Lonchura striata: one gene and its partners. The protein of the gene in region 3 interacts with the protein of the main gene of each other region in a pairwise test. Links are inferred from orthologs where the notes say so. Each region holds a gene or a part of one and is shown on either strand. Other genes may lie near its edges.

Region 1 (8,065 bases), on a different chromosome or scaffold from region 3:
CAGAATCTTAGTGATGAGGAATTACTCCATGATCACTGTTAACTCAGTCTCTTTGGACTCTCTATATTGGCATGCAGTTTATGAAGAAGTAAATATCAGGGAACAAAATACAATGAGAGATGTATGTAAGGTGATATGGGTTATTATAGACAATTTTATTATTCATTATGAATTCAGAAGGTAAACTTCTTAGTACAAGCACAGAATGCTTATATAGTATCATTTTCTCTTGAATGTCAGAAGAAAAAGGTTATACTGGCATAAAATATTCTTATTGTGACACAAACCATATCCACCAATCATCATGGTTGCTGAAAAATTGGATTACACTAAATGGAAAAAATAGACTGATACAAAAGAGTGCCTGGAACAGCTCTTTAATCTTTAAGCCACATCTTTAATTTTGCTGATTAGATGAGATTGTTCCATTTTTTAGTGAACTAGTTCAGGTTCTAACATCTTCAGTTTCCAAGGTTCAGTATCAATTTTAATCAGAGACAAAGGAGATTTCACTGCTCTTTAAGGGCTATGGTTATGGGTGTTAAACAGATAAGAAATTTATTTTCTCTCTTGAAATAGCCTATTTCTGAAGAATGGCATTGAGTGACCTCCTTTACCCAGATAATCCCAAAAGAAAGCAAGAACTGGTCCATCTGCATCAGGAATTGCTTGACAGTATGTCTACAAATTTCCATGCAACAAACGAACTGGTTGGAGTGCTGAATGAACACCTGAGCTGTACTATTACCCCCATTGAGATGCAAGAGAGCAGTACAGTCAAGGAAAACTGTGAGATTATCATTCAAGTGATGAATGAGATTCAGCATCAGGTGCAGAAGATTGATAGTGACATGAAGGACAAGCTCGAGCCAGTGCTGTACCAGAAACTATATGATATCAAAGAGCCTGAGCTGGAGAAAATTGCAATAGCCCAGAGAGTTTTTTCCATTATTTTTGGAGAAGCAACTTCAACAGCTGCAATGGTAGCTATCAAACTTCTTGGCTCCAATCATTTAACTCTCACTGTGAGCAAGCTCATTGGTCTCCTTGCACAGATTGGGGCATCTGTTCTTGGGGGAGTTAGTATTACCATTATTGGGCTTGGCCTTGAGATGATTCTCCATGCCATCCTGGGAGCTGTGGAGAGGAGTCAGCTTCTGACAGCTGTGAGAAGCTACGAGAAGCACCTGGCTGAGTTTAAAGCAGCCTCAGAAAAGTACCAGCGTGCCATACATGAAGTGACTTCTTTGGTGAGACAGCAAGTTCAGTAAATGGAGTTCTGTCTTCTGCTGCAGCAGCTTATGCCTGCAGAAACCTTTTTGATTCATTAGGACAAATTAACTACTGATGGCTTTTTATTTTCTTATTTGTGGCAGAAGAAGAAAAGTGATAGTTCAGGAAACTGGCATTGAAATATATTAGTAGAGAACTGATTTACAGATGTTTTGTGGGGGCAATGTTTAAAATGCTTTGCACCTTTCCTTAAGCTTATTTTCTGGGAAGCATCTTTAGTACAAACTGTAATTCATACTAGAGACAAGAATACAGACTGCTGGACTGGTAGTGGTGAGGTGTGTTTCTGTATCAAAGATGACAACAGAAAGGGAGAAAACAATTTCAACAAGGCAATTCATGCTAGCATCTGGAGGCTTTATGAAGACATCTGTGGTTGCTAAAGTCTTAGTGTGGTTTAGTGCTAAATCTGATAAACTGAATTAAATTACAAGGACTAGCTGAAGCATATTTAACTGCTATTTCCTGCCCTCCTAAGAAGCCAACCAGAGATCTTCTTTAAATAAACTATAATCCCAGTAGATTGGCAGGTAAGAGAAGCCTGGGCCTACATGCAAACAGACACAACCTTGCTCCATAACTGAGAGAAACCAGCTGCTGTGCTCTGGGTGTGAACAACCTCTCATACTTGTAATGCTCTGCTCCTGTCAACCTACATGTAAAAATTTCTGTGCAAAGTTGCTCGTCTGTTGATTGAAGTGGAATTATACACATGTATAAGTGCCTGTAGATTGCAGCCCTATTTAACTAAAGTTATTTTCAAGTGCCTTACCTGATCCCACCAATCTGGGACTGCCAAGAATGTGCTCAGATTCTGCATTTCACAATATGCTACCAACTGTCCTTATTTTCCAGATTTTTGCTCTGATATGCTGTGGATTGTTTTCTCTTGATCTTAGAAAAAAAAGGTAATTTAAGAATTAATAAAAATGTGCATGAGTATTGGAAGACTTCTCTGTACTTTTATTTTTTTATCTGAAAAACAATCTTAAACCAAATAATAAAGAAGTATTGAAAGCTTTATTATACATACAATTCATTTTTTTAAAATCCACAATAGACCAATCTAGTTATGCATAGGTTCCTTTTTTTAGTACCTGTTTCTCCCATACTAAAACCATGTCCAAATTCATACATGTTTCTAATATTCAATATTAGCAATCTCAATTTATTAACAACTAGATGGTGCCTATGAAATAAAGAAATGGGTGAGATTCACAGTTCTTCCACTCTGGGGTTTGGGGGGGTTGGTTTGTTTGTTTTGTTGGGTTTTACTTCTCCTCCATGTCTGTTCTCACTTCAATATTTTCTGACTCCTCTTTCCTTTTATGCACAAAAGCCACTAAATGGCAATGAAACTGCTGGTACCCAACAGCTCTGTCAAGTCATCATGGAGAAAGCCCAGGGTTCAGAAGCATAGATGGGTGCCAGAGCCCAGAGAAACTGGGACCAGCTGCAGACTGGGCTACGTGAGTCAGGAAAGGCACTTTAGTGGTGGCAAAAAGCACTGCCATGCCTACACGAGATATGGTGGTGGATGACGTGGTGACCTGAGGCATCACTTCTCCAAAATGTAACATCTCTTGTCTCCTGACACAAATGGCATTAAGTTAAGAGGTACTTCTGTAGAGACAAGAGACTGTCAGTCAGTAGAACAGCAATATCTCTGTGTTGGAGAGGTAGGAGTTCCTGGCTCCTGATTTCTATGTGCAAGTGTACACTCCAAACTAGGAATTAAAACCAGCTCTTTGAAAGATGGCCAATCACTGCTGTATAAAAATAGCGGAGCCAAATAAAAACAAATCTGTCATATTTTTTCAAGCAATTTGCCCACATGTTCTTGAGTGCAAATGCTAAGCAGTGTCAGGGGAAGTGAGGTATGCAATGAGGAACACAGAGGTAAAAAACTGCTACTCACCTCTAAGTATATCCTTGTTCCTGGTGGACTTAAAGGAAAGCGGATTTCCTCACAACAGATTTAATTCCTGCTCTCTCTAATGCTCTGGCCAGTCTTATGTTTGGTGCTCCAAAGATGCCATAACCAGTCTGTTGATATTTCCCCTCCAGACTCCTTCAAGCTGCCTCTCAGTGTGACAGAAGTAACAAGTGAAAACGTGAGAGGACTATTGTCCTCCAAATCAGCAGACACTGCTGTGAGAAAGCAGTCAGGGCTGAGGCAGCACCACTATCCCCAGAGGCCAGGATTGCCAGGACAGAAACCCCCAAGCCTTGTGAGGTGCAGCTAACCCTCAAAGACTCAGCCATCCCCCTCCACAGTGACATGGCACCTGACAGGGATGTGTGTGGCCACAGCTTTCCATCACATCCTCTTGAGCATTCTGCCTTTATTCAAGCTGTTGTTCTGGACAAAGGATTAAGGATAAAACTGTCATATATGTGTTCCAAATAAGAACAGCCTCAAAAAAACTTCAAACCAGTGTGAGCTGCTTCCAAACCTATAAAGAAAAACAGTACAGTTGCAACCAAAATCTGCCTGGCTGAATGTTCTCTCTGGTGGCAAGAATAATACAAAAAGAACATGCAAAGAGGCACAAGGTCGGGATGACCATGCTGTGCACGGATGACCATGCTGTGCATGGATGATCATGTGGTTAGCAAGACTCTGTAGGCACTAAGAGCTCCTGAAAACTTGGCTCTGAGGATACTCCTTGACTTTGTGCAGCTAGTGACTAAATGTTGGCTTCAATGTGATGTGTAGCTTATAGTCTTTTACCCATCGTGCAATGATCCTTACCAATTAGCCAAGAGAGTCTCCATTACTTGAAAAACTATGACAACATTGTGTTGAATGTTATGTGCACCAGGAGCAGAGAGTCTAGAAATCCTGCCCAAGCATCTGACCACCTCTGCTCTCAGATGCCACCTGTGCAGAGAAAAATTTCCTTCCTGCATCTCCTTTCCAACATGCTAGTTTTTTAAGCCTACACCCATAATTTATTGCTATTGATGTTTTGTGCATCTTCATCCAAGTTCTTAATGTGCTGTGGACGTTTACTGGAAATTCTGCTTTGGACAATGACACAAAACAGCTCCCACCAGGTGTTGACCAGCCTCACCAGTTCACCACAGTGGGGGCTGTAGGAAGAGGCAAACAACAGAATAGATTCTCTGGTGCCCGACAGCATAAAATGATCTCTTGTTCGCTTTGTACAGAGGGATCCCAGCCCCGCTGACAGGGGAGCAGCGCTGCCCGTGGCCAAGCCTACAACAAACCACGGGACAGGCCTCAGGCTGTGGGCAGCCCCTGCTCCCGCAGCGCTTCCCACTTATTCCCCATGGACAGAGGCTTCCCCCGCGTCCCTCGGCCCTGCCTTCTTTCAGGGCACTTTGTGGGATCTCTCCTGGAGGGCGCGGGGAGCAGGGCCGCGCTGGCCGCCTTCGCAGCTCTATTCCAGCACACGCCTCACACCGCGTGCGCCCAGAGGCGTCCAGAGCCCGCCAGGCCGGCCGGGCGATGCTCCCTAACTCCATCGCTACCGCTGCCTCCGTCTCTGTCTCAGCCCCTGTCTCTGTCCCTGCCCCGGCCCGTTCCCGCCGTCCCGCCCCTCTCCAGGCCCAACCATAGAGTTGGAGCCTCCGCGGGGCGCGAGGGGCGGCGGAACCATCGAGCTGCGGCGGAACCATCGAGCTGCGGCGGAACCATCGAGCTGCGGCCGCCGCTTCCGGCGCGCGGCTCCGCGCCGCCACTCCGTGCCGCTGCAAGATGGCGGCGGGGCCGCGGCGGCGGGCGCGGGGCTGAGCGAGGCCGCGGCAGCCGCGGGCAGCCGGAGCCGGGCCCGGCCGGGCGCAGCGGTGAGAGGGGCGCGGCGGTGCTGGGCTGCGAGGGAAGAGAGGCGAGGAGTTCGCGCTAGCTCGTTTTCTTCCTCCTACTATCGGGCGGGAGTAGGAGGGGGGGATTTCTGCCCCGTTCCCCTGTGGCCAAAAGAATAATTAATTTAGTGCTTGAGTGTATATTCTTTTTTTCACCTTCGGTCTTTAACTTGTTACGTTGAAACTCTTTAGTCTGGGTCCTTAGAAGATGTGAAATGTAGGTTTCGGAAGTTTGTTCTCTTTCCCTTTAGCCTTTACATATCAGAAAACTGGGAAATACGGGATGTAAGTGTAACTCCTACCTGTGTTTGGTGAGCTTCCCACCTAAGGAAGCGATAGTGGCTTGCAAAAGAAAAAAAACCAAACCCAACCCAGTCTTTTTGCAGGTTTGGAGGGGGAGGGAGAGAAAAAACATCCCTGGCTGTAGTTTGGACATTTATGTAGTCATCTGTAAGCCGGAGAAATATCTAACGACTGGAAATAATTTTTTGCAGAATAATCCTACACTTGCTGTACAGTGGGTGCTGGGGAGAGATATCAGAGGCAGTTAGAAGTCTGAGGAAGGAAGGAGATCTATGGGGAAACATTTGAAACAGAGAAAGGTGAAAACTGGAGAGCGCTTACAAGAATGAATGGGAAGCTGAACTCTGATACAGTCTTAGAAAAATATAATGTTAGTTTCTCCCTGCCCTGCACCCCTGCATAGTCTAAACACAAAGCTTTTTGGTTTGAATTGTAATGTGAATAATAACAAACTCATCAATTAGTTTAAAATTAGAATCTACTAAAGTAGTAGTAAGTAGGTACTGAGTTAAATAGTAGTACTTATTGCAGTAGGGCACTTTTGATATGGGTGCTGAGCTCATAGTCGGGTTTGAGGGCCTGAAAGGTATTTGGGCTCTTTGAGGGAGTAACTTGCTGATAGAAAGAAGACAAACAAGCATCCTCAAGCTGCCAGTGTGTAGGACCTGAAACCATGTCATCTTTTCCAGGTTCCTCTCTGTTAAGTTTCATTTTTTGAGGCAGAAGAAAACATATCAAAATGGGGCGGAGATCTACATCATCCACCAAGAGTGGGAAGTTTATGAATCCCACGGATCAGGCCCGTAAGTATACATAAAAGCTAAGCAGGTGGGAATGGGGAATGCCTAGAGCAAATAAAAAGCTTTCTCTGAGGATAGAATCCTCACTTGTGGATCAGAACTGTTTCTCTGAAAAATATTGTCTCAGTTTTATCTGGGAAGGCTGCTTGCTTTCATGCTCTTGCTTCTCTTAAGTATTTATCTCTTGGTTTTCCACTGGTTATCAGTGTTGGAAGGCCTTTGTACTTGGCTGTTGGATAAACTGCAGGCTGTTTCCTGGGACAGCGTTAATCTGTCCCAGGCAGGAATTTGAGGAACATGTCAAATTTTGCAGGTGCTCTGGTTAGATGGGGGAGTTGTCTTACTGGGTTTTTTCCTACTTTTGGTAACATGCCAGGTGTTATCAATGCTCAGTGAATAAAGAAAATCTGGACTCCCACAGTGGATATGCTTTATTTCAGAGGCATTCTCAAAGCCTACATTTTTTTAAAGTGTATTGTCTAATGACTCTGTTTCAGCTTCTGTGCAGCAATCTTTTCATGATTGCAACTATCACTATGACTTCAGTTGCCTATTGTTCTTTTTTGTATGGAAAAAAACCTTGCTTCTGGAGACATGAAGACTGCAGTATCTCTTTTTTTTTTCCGTATAAAAGATGAGAAACAGAAATCTATTTCATGCTATATTTCTTTTTCACTGGAAACCTGAATTGCAGTAAGTCTTTGTAAAAGGAGTGAACTGTTGAGAAACAGCCCTAGTCTTGATGAAGGAAGGTTCTTCATTAATTTTATTTTGTCGTTCAAGTTGTTACTTTCTTTTTCTTTTCTCCTCTAGGGAAGGAAGCTCGGAAAAGGGAACTAAAGAAGGTAAATAAAGAGATTAGGAAACATGTAGTTGGCTTTTCCTATACTACGTATCGTCTTTGTGATTGTAAAGGGCCATGAATAGACTGTGGATATTTTGGTTGATATTCTAAGACTGACTTTGGAAATACTATCCAGACATATAGTTCAAAAGCACATAGAAGTCTTGTTTGGAATAAACATATTCCCAGCTGTTCTTTAACTTGTAATTGTTTTTGAAACATTGCTGGAAGTACTTAATTATTAAAGAACCCAAAAACAAGAAAACAAAGAAGCAAGCAACATACCAAAAAAAAAAAAAAAAAAATCCAAATAAATAAAGCATCCAAGAGTCACACACTTCTTAGTGTGTTCTAATGTATTTTGTAAGTTGTTACTGTGTTGATTGCATGTGTCTTAGTTGGAGTGAAGGAATGATAGCAGCATTTGCAATTACCAAGATAATGGAATTAAAATTACCAGAAGTTTCAGCTACATTTTCTGCTGATTTGTGCCATGGTGAACGTTTTCAGGGCATTCTGCGGTGTGATTTTTTTTTCCTCAGACTGGAAATACTGAGAAAGTGGTAACAGATGTTTTGTGTCTTTCTACTGTGAAACTTTTCTATCTGCTTGATCTCTGGTCTTAGAACAAAAAGCAACGGATGATGGTCCGAGCAGCTGTACTGAAGATGAAAGATCCAAAGCAGATTATCCGGGACATGGAAAAGTTGGATGAGATGGGTGAGTGAGAGGTACCAGGTGTTGGACTTAGGCAGTTGTTCATGTAGATGCACAGTGTAGTTTTAACTACTGATGGGGGAGACTGAAATAGAGCAATCTTTTCCTGTTAGAAGTGGGGATTCTGTGAATATCTGAGGATTGATTATGATTTGAGGTGTTGTGGTGCTATCAAAGAGTATTTTTTTCCAAGAAGGTGATTGATCAGAAAAACGAGTAGTGTGTGTGAGTGCTGCTAATGTAGAATTCAAGGAGGGGATTGTCATAAGGCTGAAGA
Region 2 (5,761 bases), on a different chromosome or scaffold from region 3:
ACATCCCCGAGGGTCCCCCAGCGTCCCCAAGGGTCTCCGAGAGTCCCCAAGGGTCCCCCGGTGTCCCTGGGGTCCCCAAGGGTCCCTGAGGGTCCCCGAGCATCCCTGAGGGTCCCCCACTGTCCCCGAGGGTCCCTGAGGATCCCCCGCTGTCCCCGAGCGTCCCCAAGGGTCCCCGGGTGTCTCCAAGGGTCCCCGAAGGTCCCCTGGTGTCCCCTGCTGTCCCCTCGGGGCCTCCTCTCATGTCCCCATGTCCCACCGGCACTTCCCATGCCCTGTGTCTGCTGCTGGGTTGTCCCCAAGTCCCCTCGGGGTGTCCCCACCGTGTCCCTGAGTCCTCTCATGGTGTCCCCACCGTGTCCCCCCTCCATCCCTGTCCCCAGGTGTCCCCATGGTGTCCCCAGGTCCCCTCAGGGTGTCCTCATGGTGTCCCCAAGTCCCCACGGTGTCCCCAGCCTGTCCCTAAGCCCCTGTGGGGTGTCCCCAGCCCTGCTGGGCATGTCCCCACATGTCCCCACATGTCCCCACATGTCCCCGCGTGTCCCCACATGTCCCCGCGTGTCCCCGCGTGTCCCCGCGTGTCCCCGCATGTCCCCAAGTGACCTCACGTCCCGCGGGCTCTGTCCCCAGCCCTACCACACCCTGTGCCATGTGCTGGCGTGTCCCCAGATTGTCCCCAAGCCCCTCAGGCTGTCCCCAAGCCCCTCAGACTGTCCCCAGGCCCCCTCAGACTGTCCCCAGGCTGTCCCCAAGCCCCTGAGGGTGTCCCCAGGCTGTCCCCAAGCCCCCTCAGACTGTCCCCAGACTGTCCCCAAGCCCCTGAGGGTGTCCCCAGGCTGTCCCCAAGCCCCCTTGGTGCATCCCCCACCGTGTCCCCTCTTGTCCTCACGATGTCCCCGTGTCCTACAGACCTTTCCCCTGCCCTGTGCCAGTGCTGGGCTGTCCCCAGGTGTCCCCACACTGTCCCCAAGTGTCCCCAAATGTCCCCAAGCCCCGTAGGCGCTTCCCCCACCCCTACTACAGCCTGTGCCTTGTGCCGGGCTGTCCCCAAATGTCCCCTGGTATCCCGAGGTGTCCCCAGGTGTCCCCACACTGTCCCCAGGTGTGCCCAAATGTCCCCAAACCCCCGCAGGCACTTCCCCCACCTGTGCCTTGTGCCGGGCTGTCCCCACACTGTCCCCTGGTATCCTGAGGTGTCCCCAGGTGTCCCCACACTGTCCCCAGGTGTCCCCCAAATGTCCCCAACCCCGCAGGCACTTCCCCCACCCCTACTACAGCCTGTGCCTTGTGCCGGGCTGTCCCCACACTGTCCCCAAGTGTCCCCAAATGTCCCCAACCCCCGCAGGCATTTCCCCCACCTGTGCCTTGTGCCGGGCTGTCCCCAGGTGTCCCCCACATTGTCCCCAAATGTCCCCAAACCCCGCAGGCACTTCCCCCACCCCTACTACAGCCTGTGCCTTGTGCCGGGCTGTCCCCACACTGTCCCCTGGTATCCCGAGGTGTCCCCAAGTGTCCCCACACTGTCCCCAGGTGTCCCCCAAATGTCCCCAACCCCGCAGGCACTTTGTCCACCTGTGCCTTGTGCCAGGCTGTGCCCAAATGTCCCCTGGTATCCTGAGGTGTCCCCAGGTGTCCCCACACTGTCCCCAAATGTCCCCAAATGTCCCCAACCCCCCATAGGCACTTCCCCCACCCCTACTACAGCCTGTGCCTTGTGCCGGGCTGTCCCCACACTGTCCCCAGGTGTCCCCAAATGTCCCCAACCCCCCATAGGCACTTTCCCCACCCCTACTACAGCCTGTGCCTTGTACTGGGCTGTCCCCACATTGTCTCCACACTGTCCCCAAGTGTCCCCACACTGTCCCCAAGTGTCCCCAAATGTCCCCAACCCCGCAGGCACTTCCCCCACCCCTACTACAGCCTGCGGCTGCACCTGCCCGGCTCCAACGCCTCGGCGCGGCTGCTGGTGCTCGACTCGGTTCTGCTCTGCGGCCGCGGCGACGATTTCGGGCGGGGCCCGGCGGGGCCGCGGGACGCGGCGGCGGCGGCGGCGCAGCTCCGCTGGCTGCGGGCGCAGCTGGAGGCGGCGGCCGCCGAGCGCTTCGTGCTGGTGGCCGGGCACTACCCGCTCTGGTCCGTGGGCAAGCACGGCCCCACGCCCTGCCTGCTGCGCCTGCTGCGCCCGCTGCTGCGGCGCCACCGCGTCAGCGCCTACCTGTGCGGGCACGACCACAACCTGCAGGTGAGGCACCGCAGGGTGACGGGGTGCCGGGGTGACAGGGGTGCCAGGGGTGCGAGGGCCGGGTGATGGGGTGCCAGGGGTGCCAGGGGTGCGAGGGCCGGGTGATGGGGTGCCAGGGTGCCAGGGGAGGGAGGGCCGGGTGATGGGGTGCCGGGGTGCCAGGGGTGCCAGGGGTGAGAGGGCCGGGTGATGGGGTGCCAGGGTGCCAGGGAAGGGATGGCTGGGGGTGCCAGGGGTGCGAGGGCCGGGTGCCAGGGGTGCCAGGGGTGCGAGGGCCGGGTGATGGGGTGCCAGGGGTGCGAGGGCCGGGTGATGGGGTGCCAGGGTGCCAGCGGAGGGAGGGCCGGGTGATGGGGTGCCGGGGTGCCAGGGGTGCCAGGGATGCGAGGGCCGGGTGATGGGGTGCCAGGGTGCCAGGGGTGCCAGGGGTGAGAGGGCCGGGTGATGGGGTGCCAGGGTGCCAGGGAAGGGATGGCTGGGGGTGCCAGGGGTGCGAGGGCCGGGTGACAGGGGGTACCAGGGTGCCAGGGGTGCCAGGGGTGCGAGGGCCGGGTGACAGGGGGTACCAGGGTGCCAGGGGTGCCAGGGGTGCGAGGGCCGGGTGCCAGGGTGCCAGGGGTGCCAGGGGAGGGAGGGCCGGGGGTGCCAGGGTACCAGGGTGACAGGGGAGGGAGGGCCGGGGGTGCCAGGGGTGTCAGGGGAGGGAGGGCTGGGGGTGCCAGGGGTGCCAGGGGAGGGATGGTTGGGTGCCAGGTGTGCCAGGTGAGGCACAGCCAGATGTGCCAGGTGAGGGATGGCCGGGGGTGCAGGGACACCAAAACTGTTCAGGGACACCCAACGCTGTTCAGGGACACCAAAGCTGTGCAGGGACACCCAAAGGTGCTCGGGGACACCCAAGGGTGCTCGGGGAGCCCCAGACCCCCCGGTGTCTCCCCGCAGTACCTGGAGGAGGGGGGCGTGGGCTACGTCCTGAGCGGCGCCGGCAACTTCATGGAGGACTCGCAGCCCCACGCGGGCTCGGTGCCCCCCGGCGCCCTCCGGTTCTTCTACGGGAGCGCCGCCAGCCCCGGCGGCTTCGCCCACGTGCGCCTGGAGCCCGCCGCCGCCACCGTCACCTTCCTGGAGGCCACCGGGCGCGTCCTGCACCGCGTCACGCTGCCGCCGCGCCACCCGTGACCGGGACCGGGGACGGCGGGACAGCGGGGCACCGGGACAGCGGGAGAGCGGGAGAGCGGGGCAGGGGGACACCGGGAGAGCGGGACACCGGGACAGCGGAGAGCGGGGACAGCGGGAGAGCGGAGAGCGGGGCACGGGGACACCGGGAGAGCGGGACACCGGGACAGCAGGACACCGGGACAGCGGAGAGCGGGGACAGCGAGACACCGGGAGAGCGGGACACCCGGAGAGCGGGACATCTGGACAGCGGGGACAGTGGGGACACCAGGACAGCGGGACGCGGGGACACCGGGATCCGTTCCCTGGGGACATCGGGAACACCGGGACCCCTCCCTGGGGACGCCCCGAGACCGCCGAGTCCCCCCGGGGGACACCGGCACCGCTGCCTTCGGGGACATCCCGTCAACTCTGACCCCTTGGGGACACCGGGGACCGGACACTGCCCGCCGGCCCCGCCCGGTTGCCCCGTGCCGCCAATAAAGGCTTTGAAGGGCGCCGCCGGACCCGAAACCACCGCGATTCACCCCAAAACCGCGATGGGCGGGGTCCGGCAGGGCTGGCCACGCCTCCCACCCGTTGATTGGCTGAAATGCGCGTCCATCACTCACTGAGTGGGCGGGACAGAGTCTCTCGGTTCGCCGCTGGTGATTGGCTGGGGCGCTGTTCTTATCAACCAATGAGCGGGGCGTTTTCGGGTCACGTGGGGAAGAGCGCGCCGTTCCCGCCGCTGATTGGCTGAGGGCGGAGGGGCGGCACTTCCGGGATCGCGGCGGGAGCGCGGCGTGAGGACCGGGAGGGACCGGGGGGCACCGGGGGGCACCGGGGGAGGGTCCAGCCGTCCTCGGCACGTCCCGCAGCGGGTCGGGGCCACTCCGAGCCGGCTCCCGGGGCCGATCCCGGTGTGGTTCCCCTTCCCGAGGCCGTTCCCGGTTCTGGGCTCCGGTGCGGCCGCCATGGGCCGCCGCAAGTCGAAGCGAAAGCCGCCGCCCAAGAAGAAGATGACGGGGACGCTGGAGACGCAGTTCACGTGTCCCTTCTGCAACCACGAGAAGTCCTGCGACGTCAAGATGTGAGCGCGGGACACCGGGCACCGGGGGGACACCGGGGGGCACCGGGGACGGGACACGGGGATGGGCGGCAGCGCGGGAAGAACGACGGAGAAACCCGGGGGGGAAGCGGAGAGCGGAGACATGGACGAGGACACCGGGCGGGGGTGCCGGTACCGCGGAGGGGACACCGGGCGAGGGGACACCGGGAGTGTGGCGGGGGGGATCGGGACGGAGCCCGGAGGGGTCACGCCCGTCCCGTGCCTCGCAGGGACCGCGCCCGGAACACCGGGGTGATCTCGTGCACCGTGTGCCTGGAGGAGTTCCAGACCCCCATCACCTGTATCCTTACCGGGACCCCCCTCGGGACACCCCCGGGACCCCTCCGGGACCCCCCGAGTCGGTGTTGGAGCCTTAACGGCGCCGCCAGACCTGTCGGAGCCCGTGGACGTTTACAGTGACTGGATCGACGCCTGCGAAGCCGCCAACCAGTGACCCCGGGGGGGCGGCGGGGACACCGCCCGCTCCCCAAACTCCCGGCGGGGTCAGGGACCCCCCCCCGGGCCCGGTGACAGCCCCGGAGCCGGTGCGGGGGTGGCATCCCCCCCTCCCCCCGCGTCCGGCACTTGTCCTCGTCCCCGTGGGGACACCGGGGCGGGGGGCGACGCGTTTGGGGACAGCGGCCCCGGAATAAATGCCCCGAGTGGTGGCCCTGGTCCTCCCTGTCCCTTTGTCCCCCATTGTCCACCCCATCCCCGCCGCCCCGGTGTCCCCCCGGTGTCCCCCGGTGTCCCCCGGTGTCCCCCAGCACGGTCCCACGGCGCTGTCACCTCTGCGTGTGGCTTTTATTGTGCCTCGGTGGCTTCACACGTGGCGGGGCCCGAACCCCCCGGGGCCGAACCGGGGACCAAACCCGGGGGTGATCCCGGGACTGAACCCGGGGCCAGCCCAGCCCTGGCCCCGCCCGGGGCCGGTCCCGGGATTGTCCCACCGGGGCCGGTGCCGAGTGCTGCCCCCCCACCCCGGGAGCCATCGCGGGGCCGATCCCGGGGCCGGTTTCCCCTGGGATTAATCCCGGGGCCGGTTTCCCCTGGGGCAATCCCGGGGCTGGTTTCCCCCAGGGCCGATCCTGGGGCCGTTTTCCCCTGAGATCGATTCTGGGGTGGATTCCAGGGCCGGTTTCCCCCGGGGCCGGTCCCCCCGGTGCCAGCCCCGGGGTCGGTTCCCCTGCGATCGATCCCAGAGCTGATCCCGGGGACAGTTTCCCCCAGTGCCAACCCCGGGGCCGATCCCAGGG
Region 3 (7,570 bases):
AGTTTGTTCTTCTTCGCCTTCTTCTTCATGGGTTTGGATGATATCTCATAATCGGGCAGGAGTCCTCATTGCGGGCTTCAAAGGATCAGTTATTGGTTAAAAGGTAAAATAATCTAAGTGTCATTTCTTAATTGGACAGTTTAGTCTTAAAAAACCTTGTAACAAGAGATTGTTGGCCATTTTTGCGGTGCTTTTCCAGCGTGCAGAGTCTGGTATAGATGGCGTGCAAAACTTTTGATAAGGTAACAATAAACAAGAAGCTGAAGATCAAAAAAGTCCTGTGCATCTCCTTTTCCTGACACAGAACAGCTCCAGAAGGGTTTTCCCCCTGACAGGGGAACCCCGAGAGAGGAGCCCAACGTGGGGCAAAGAAACCGATATATTAGCTATGGGCCCCTATCAGACTATAAACTTCACCAAGTCAGTATTCCCTGTAAATCCAAGGTTTACTGAAAGAAAGCAACACCCGGCACCCAAATCTTGAAATTTGAAGTGCTAGGGCTTAATTGTAAGACTCAACTTTCTATAGTCTTACAGTGACAACTCTATTTTCCTGCCACGTGTGCATTCATTTCTAAGGTAAATATGTTGAGCACTACTCAACAATCCACTCAGTGGGATGCAAAGAAACTGTTGTTTGAAAAACTATTTCCATGGACAAGAGCAACAAGTCTGCCAGCTCACAACTGTGAGGCAAAGCAGTGCACCTGAAAGGTGTCTAAACAGTATTTTTTTCCATGAGACCTGATTACTGGCTACTTCCCAAGCTAGAGGGACAAACAAGGGTAAGGGAAGAACATTGATGCAAACACACATTATGGGCCATGATGACATCTATCCCCCTGCAGGCAGGTAACTGTTACCTGTTTCGCTCATAACTTCTGTGATGAGGCGATATCCTTCCTCTCTCATAATCCGTCCGGTGCCGACTGCTTTCCTGCCTCCTCCTATCCGGACTGCGGCCCCGATCCCGACGATCCCCGTGGTTGGCGGAGCGATGCCTGTCGCCGTGAATGTGCCCGTGCTCGCGGTGCCGGTGCTCATCGTAGTGCTTGCTCCTGTCAGGGGAGCGCCGGTCGCTTTGGGACTTCTCTCCCTGGTACTGCCCCGTGTGCCTGAAGTGGCTGCTGCTGGCGCTGCTGCCGGCAGCGCTGCTCGGGAAGGAGCCGGAGCTGTGCTGGTAGCTGCTGAAGCTGGGCGGCGGGAACGACTGCTGCGAGTAGCCTGCCGAGTACACGGGCTGGTAGCTGACTTGCTGCGGCATGACTGGCGGCGGGGGAGGGTGTGGTACCGTGGGGGGAGGCATCATGTAAGGAAAGGTGCTTTGTCCAGCAGGTGCTCCTGGCACGGGAGTGTTGCTAGGGTTTGGCACTGGTGGAGGAGTGGGTGGGAAACATGGAGGCACTGGGAAGCTCTGCCTCATCTGGTGGTTTGGAAATGGTGGCCTCATGGGACACTGGCTGATGGGATTTTGTGTGGAAGGGGGCACTGGAGGAGGATAGGGCACAAAGTCTGGCCTGGGAGGCATGTAACCGGTGGCTGGAGGGTTGGAGTAGGTTGTTGGAGGGGCAGTTTGCTGCTCATACTGGTACTGCACGGAGGGCTGCTGTGGGTGGAGCTGCCGGAGGTTCTGAGGGCGGTAGGTCTGTGTTGAAGTCCTTGCTCCTGGTCCCCCCTGGCCACGGGGACATCCTCGCCCAGAATGGAAAGACATGGCTCACCTTTATTGAGGAAAATAAAAATGCAGTGTCACACAGTTTTTGTAAGATGTCTTCAATGCATCTGCAGGAGCTACTCCTGAAGTGCTGACACTGCAGTTTCCTTTAACAGAAGCAATAAATGATATCCACTTTCACTGGGAGCTTTGTGCTCCTCAGACATTTAGTGCAGGCCATTTATGCCCCTTTAGATTCCTTCAAGCCTCTAATCCATGAAAGCACTTACTGTCTTCAAGCCAGAACGCAAGCTGGATCATGCTTTACGAGTTAGGGCAATGTAATTTCAACAAATTATTGTAATGATGGCAGGTCAAGGATACAAGCACCTCCACTAGGACTTTGACACTTTGATATAAAACCTTTGGATACCCCACACCAAAGAAATCACTCATTATTATAACTGCAGTGGTTATCCAAAGTTGTGTAAGAAGTTCTCTCTAGAACACAATTCTAAATTTTGGGCAGAATGACTTGACTAACAAATCTTTGGATGCCTCCTGGCCAAACAAATCATGTCAACTTTAAATTAAATACTAGCTTGCTATTGAGTCCCCAGTGTACTAAAGACTGAATTCAACAGACCCTTCAAACTCTTTTAAGTGAGGTACGTATATTTTTGTGGAAAAACAGGTTACACATCTTGCAGGTTATGAAAAAAAAAATCATGCAGACTGTGCTATTCCTTAATTTTCACTGAAATAAATGATTCCAAATAAATCCCTCAACTGCCTTCTTGACCCTGTTACCCTTGAGAAACCATCACTGCTTAAAGTAGGTTTAAGTGTTGCTCAAAACAAGGCATGTATTTAAGGCATTAACATTTATAAATGAAAGCACTGTGCTTCATTAAAGTTTAAATTGATTTTTTAATTGCAATGGTAAGTTTCAAAACCTGAAAAAAGGAGAAAAAACACTTAAGAAAATTTATGGCTGGAACGGAAGGAGAGGTGAAAAAAATGATCTAAGCACCTCCAGAAGTCAAATCCTGTTTTCTGTAAGGGGAAGTGAGAAAGAAAGGGGAGACACACACAATTGGAAAGATCACCAGAAAAAAGAAACAAAGCCTCCCTTTCTCTGAGGCTTTGCTGATGCTGAAGAATACACATGCACAGAATATTCTCCCACCTGCTATAGTGCAACATGGCCAACCTGGACTGCTCAGAGCACTGCTCTCAGCCACATTCCGGTGACACTGTAGTAAAAGTTGCAGCACTTGCTGAGAGAAAGCAGACAGCTTCTGGTGAACTGGAGGGAGAAAGGAAACGAAACACAGGGGCAAAGGACGGATAGCAAAGATGAGGAATCAAGAGGACCCTCCTTACACATGCAGTGCTTAGTGGAAGCCACTGGAATTGGTGGTAGTATTCCCTCTCCAGAACAATCAAGTGCCAATGTGAGTGTGATTCCCACACTATGAGGAGATAGCAGCCATGATGGTATAAAGCCACGTGTTCCTTCCAGTCAGCCTGCACCTGCTCAGTACCCTCTAATATTCTAAGGGCTCTCAAAAAAAAAAAAAAAAAAAAAAGTCACAACCAGGGGAGAAAAAAAAAAGTCAACATCCATTTTGTCTGGCAATAGCATACCCTTTTGATATTACTGACTATAATCCATCAGATGCTGAATTAACTTTGCTTTGGTTCTCCTGCTGTGCTCTTACACAACTCAGGCTTGTAACAGAAGACTGTTTTAGACTTTGCTAATGCTCCCATACACATGTTATTTAAACAGGCTGTACCACAGTGCCTTATCTTTAGGTGCGTTTCTTTCTAACATGTCACAGCATTCAAAAAAACAGTCTTGTTTATCAGCTCACAGACCTTCCCAATGCCAGAGAACTGCTCTTGATCTATTACTTTAATTTTAGTCCTTCAGCAAGCCCAGAATCACAATTGGAAAAAAAGATTCAAAAAGACACGGAACTATTTTACATGCCCAAACTATTTTAAAGCTCCCTCTGCTGCAAACGCAAGTCACATTAAACTTCAAAAACACAAAAAAGAGCAAACTCCCCTTCCCCTGTCACCTAAAGAGGAATTTTATTGCACCAATAGGAGCCATTGCATTCTAAAGCAGCACTGGTCCCCTAAAAAACACTGAATAAACTCATCTCTCCCTGCAGATGCACTGCTGAGAGCAACAGGGCACTGACACATCGAGAAGAGAGCACTGAGAGGGGACATCATCAATGCCTGTAAGTACCTAAGAGAGGGTATCAAAAAGGCTGGATTCAGGCTCTTCTAGTGCCGTGCAACAGGCACGAGAGTGAACGGACAGAAGCCGATGCACAGGAAGTTCCACCGGAACATGAGGAAGAACTTCTTTAACTGTGCGGGAACGGATTCCAGAGAGGCTGCGGCGTGTCCCTCACTGGAGATACCCAGGAACTGTCCGGACGCAATCCTGTGCCATGTGCTCTGGGATGACCCTGCAGGAGCAGGAAGACTGGACCAGGCAACCCACTGTGGTCCCTTCCGACCTGACCCATCCAGTACCACCGGCCTCGCCCCACCGGCGCCTCCCGCCGGCCCGGGGGCACGGAGCCGCCGAGCCGCCCCTGCCGGGCCCCGCTGCCCGCGCCAGCCCGGCCCCGCCAGCCCCGCGGAGCCGCCGCGCTCCCGACCCCGCGACCCCTGCGGAGCTCCACGAGCAGCGCGGAGCGCCCCGAGGCGGCCCCGCCGCCGCCCCGCGGGCAGCCCGGCACGCCGAGCCCGCCCGGCACGCCGAGCCCACCTGGCGCCCTCGCCGCCGCCGAGCCCAGCGCCGCCCGCAGCGCCCGGCTCCGGAACAGGAAAGCGATGGGAGGCGCTGCGGGCGGAAGCGCCGCCCGCCCGAGGGGAGCGGCGGCATGAGCGGAGCGGAGCCGCGGCTCGGCGATGCCGCCCGGCCCCGCGGGGCCTCCCGGCGGCGGTACCCGGCCCTGCCCGTCTGGGTGGTGGAGGACCACCAGGACGTGAGTGCCCCGCGCTGGGCTGCCGGGGGATGGGGACTGCCATGGGGAGGGTTTCCTTTGTTCCTGCCTGCGTGTGTGCTGGTGTTTCTCCGCGGCGCGGATGCTCAGAGGGGCAGGAGGAAGCGAAGAGAGGTGCCCGGTGCGGTCACCGGCGGCCTCCCGGGAGACGCTTTCCCGTACGTGTGCGGCTTCTCCGGGCGCTTCCCGGGGAGCGGCCCTCCCCTCCGCAGCCGCACACAAACCCCAAAGCCGCCTTCCCTTCCGCCCTGAAACATCAATGAACTTCAGCGCCCAGGTGGCCCGATTTTCCTTCCCGATTGACTTATTGCCATGATCGCATTTTGGCATTTTTAAAAGCAATTATTGCTGACTGCTTTTTCTTCTTTTGTAATTGAACCACACCAATTGCTGTGGTTTAAAGGAGATAATACCTACATTACACTGCTGTTTTAATTTGCTGGCTATTAGTGGGGTGCTTGGAAACTCAACCCTACCCAGTGTATGACATGTCAGCAGAGTATAAGTAAATATAATCCTATCCCATCTAGTAGATTGACTCCCACTTGATGAGGAATGTTAAAAATCTGGAGCTTTGCCTTTTTTTTTGTGGAGTCATTGAAAAAGGGAGTGAAGAAGGAATTGCTTTAGAATTGCTGTTTCTGGTTTCTCATGGGGTTTTTTATAATAGCATAAACTGAGGTTTTAATCCTAAAATAACAGATTCTTTACTTGGTTATTTGCAAAGAGAAAATGTTAGTGTAGTAAAGTGTTTTAAAGACAATAATGTTACAAATTTGTTAGTAGTTTAATACCGTTCATTTTTGTAAAGACTCGCTGAATACAGGATGCTGTGACAGCTGATTTTTACAGCTCTAAGTAGCCAAGGACTTAGAGTGTCAGTGTGGTAGGAATTCTGAGATAATACCTCTTAATGATCCTTCTTTACTTTAGTCTCTATATTTCTGGTTTTAGTCAGCTTAAAGTTATATTAATACTATATATTTAATTTAAAACATTTTCAGCACAGGAGTGTGGATTAATTGGTCTATCTTGCATAAAACATAATGGCTTTTTGTCCCGAAGTGGAAGAACTTCACAGAAGTTTTGATATCAGCCTTGCTGATAGTGATGTTCCTCCAGAGCAAGTTGTCAGTAGCTGCATCATGCACTGATTAATAATAACAGCTGTCATGAAGGAAATTTTGTTCTTAGTCCAAATCAGGAGAATTTGCAAGGTTAGAGAGGTTAGTCTTTCCTGTCTCTTGCAACCAGTAGTTGCACTTACCTGAGGTGAAGCTTCAATTTTAATTGAAAATACTGTATGTTATTTAGTAGGCCAACTTGCTTCTTTGTTACAAAAAAGTAAAAGCCATGCAACAGGAAACCCATGTTGGTTTTAATCTTGTTTTATCTATTGTTGCAATAATATACATATGTTTTACGGTTATGCCTATGCAGTATGCAGGGTTTATCATCTTAATCAGTTTTATGCCAAAAAAGTAGCTCAGTTGCTTTTGTAATGCAGAGGTCACATATATTTTTTGTTGCTTCTTACAGTCTTCACATTCCCTGTATAATAGTGCTGTCATTCACAATCCTTGTTGGATTTGCTCTGATAGCCAAGGCAGTTGATTCTCTCTAACTGTGGAAGAGCCTCTGTGAGCTCCAAGAGAAAACAGCCATCAGTTTTCTCATTTTTACCACCCCATATTATTGCAGTTCAGTGGTTTGCTATTCCTGTAAATTGGTGAGTTGCTTCATCTCCTGTTTTTCACCTATCTGAGTGAAGAACTTCAGCAGAGAATAAAGTTGGACAGGTAAGAAAGATAGTCTCTATTGCAAGCAGTAATGGAAGGATTAGGAATTAATTCTCCAAGAGGAATAGGTTTAATGATCAGCTGAAGTTTAAATCATGGTGGCGTCAGTTTTCAGTCTATATCATTTAACTTATAAAACATAAGGAGCAAACTGTTTTTATCTCCATAGCACCAGTGCATGGTGAGAAAGCTTTATAGCATGGGAAAAGAAGTACAAGGCCAATGATCTGCAGAAGAGGAAAGGCATTCCTGAGTCTTCGGTGTAAATGGAAAAAAAACCCCTCAAACATCTAGGAATAGAGTTGAATGGCTAGTGAGAAGAGCTACTGCAGACAAGACTTCCTATAAAGAAGGAAAAAGGGTGTAAGGCTGTGACTTTTCAGCAGTTTCTCATCTGGAGCACTTGGGCTTATAATGATTACTGTTCACGAGTTGTCTTGCCACTGGAGTTATTTTCCCTCTGTATTGTTTTCTGTCTCATCCTCCCTCTAATAAAATTCTAAAGGAATAAAAGTGGTACTGGTGGTTTTGCTGCTAAAGCTGTTGCATTTTTCAGCTCACTGACTATCATTAAAATGTTTTTATTCATGTTGCTTTAGGTGCTGCCTTTCATCTATCGTGCCATTGGTTCAAAGCATCTTCCTGCCAGTAACATCAGTTTTGTTCATCTTGATTCCCATCCAGACCTTCTCATTCCTGTGAATATGCCTGCAGACACAGTATTTGACAAAGAAGCTCTTTTTAGGCAAGTCCTGGGTACTGCATCAGAGTAGACTTTAAGTCTAATTCTTGCTGCCTTTGATTCACAGTGATTATTGCTATGACTGCTTAGGAGGGATGAACAAAAGTGATATAAGTCACATTCAAGTTGCATCTTCTGTCTTTTCACTTTTGCTGAAACTTTATTTTTTAATGGCAAAAGTTACATTGCGTATCAAGCAATTTAAGATGCATGACGTTGCTTTGTGTATTGACTCAATAGTGTATGATGGTATTAAGCCAAATGTTTCTTCTGGGTAACAGGAAAGCACTCTGGATGCTTTGTCTGAAAAGCTGTAATTACAAGCTGATGCATTTGGTGT

Evidence for each region.
Region 1: the proteins of C1H5orf22 (region 3) and WBP11 interact in binary tests that used the Homo sapiens proteins (3 or more experiments, as listed by UniProt). The two-hybrid records come from large-scale screens. The link is inferred for Lonchura striata from reciprocal best matches to the Homo sapiens genes C5orf22 and WBP11.
Region 2: the proteins of C1H5orf22 (region 3) and ELOF1 interact in binary tests that used the Homo sapiens proteins (3 or more experiments, as listed by UniProt). The two-hybrid records come from large-scale screens. The link is inferred for Lonchura striata from reciprocal best matches to the Homo sapiens genes C5orf22 and ELOF1.

The regions. Positions count from the first base shown.
Region 1 is NC_134607.1:56,791,212-56,799,276, forward strand, and holds the start of WBP11 (WW domain-binding protein 11), read left to right. Parts: upstream 1-5,033; 5' UTR 5,034-5,106; intron 5,107-6,116; 5' UTR 6,117-6,166; coding exon 6,167-6,230; intron 6,231-7,040; coding exon 7,041-7,072; intron 7,073-7,697; coding exon 7,698-7,791; intron 7,792-8,065. Other genes in the region: SMCO3 (single-pass membrane and coiled-coil domain-containing protein 3), read left to right, coding at 594-1,271. UniProt on the Homo sapiens protein: Activates pre-mRNA splicing. May inhibit PP1 phosphatase activity.
Region 2 is NC_134623.1:1,323,887-1,329,647, forward strand, and holds ELOF1 (transcription elongation factor 1 homolog), read left to right. Parts: upstream 1-4,137; 5' UTR 4,138-4,371; coding exon 4,372-4,487; intron 4,488-4,735; coding exon 4,736-4,806; intron 4,807-4,894; coding exon 4,895-4,959; 3' UTR 4,960-5,189; downstream 5,190-5,761. UniProt on the Homo sapiens protein: Factor involved in transcription-coupled nucleotide excision repair (TC-NER), a mechanism that rapidly removes RNA polymerase II-blocking lesions from the transcribed strand of active genes.
Region 3 is NC_134603.1:97,753,158-97,760,727, reverse strand, and holds the start of C1H5orf22 (UPF0489 protein C5orf22 homolog), read left to right. Parts: upstream 1-4,544; 5' UTR 4,545-4,566; coding exon 4,567-4,671; intron 4,672-7,087; coding exon 7,088-7,233; intron 7,234-7,570. Other genes in the region: DROSHA (ribonuclease 3), read right to left, coding at 864-1,714.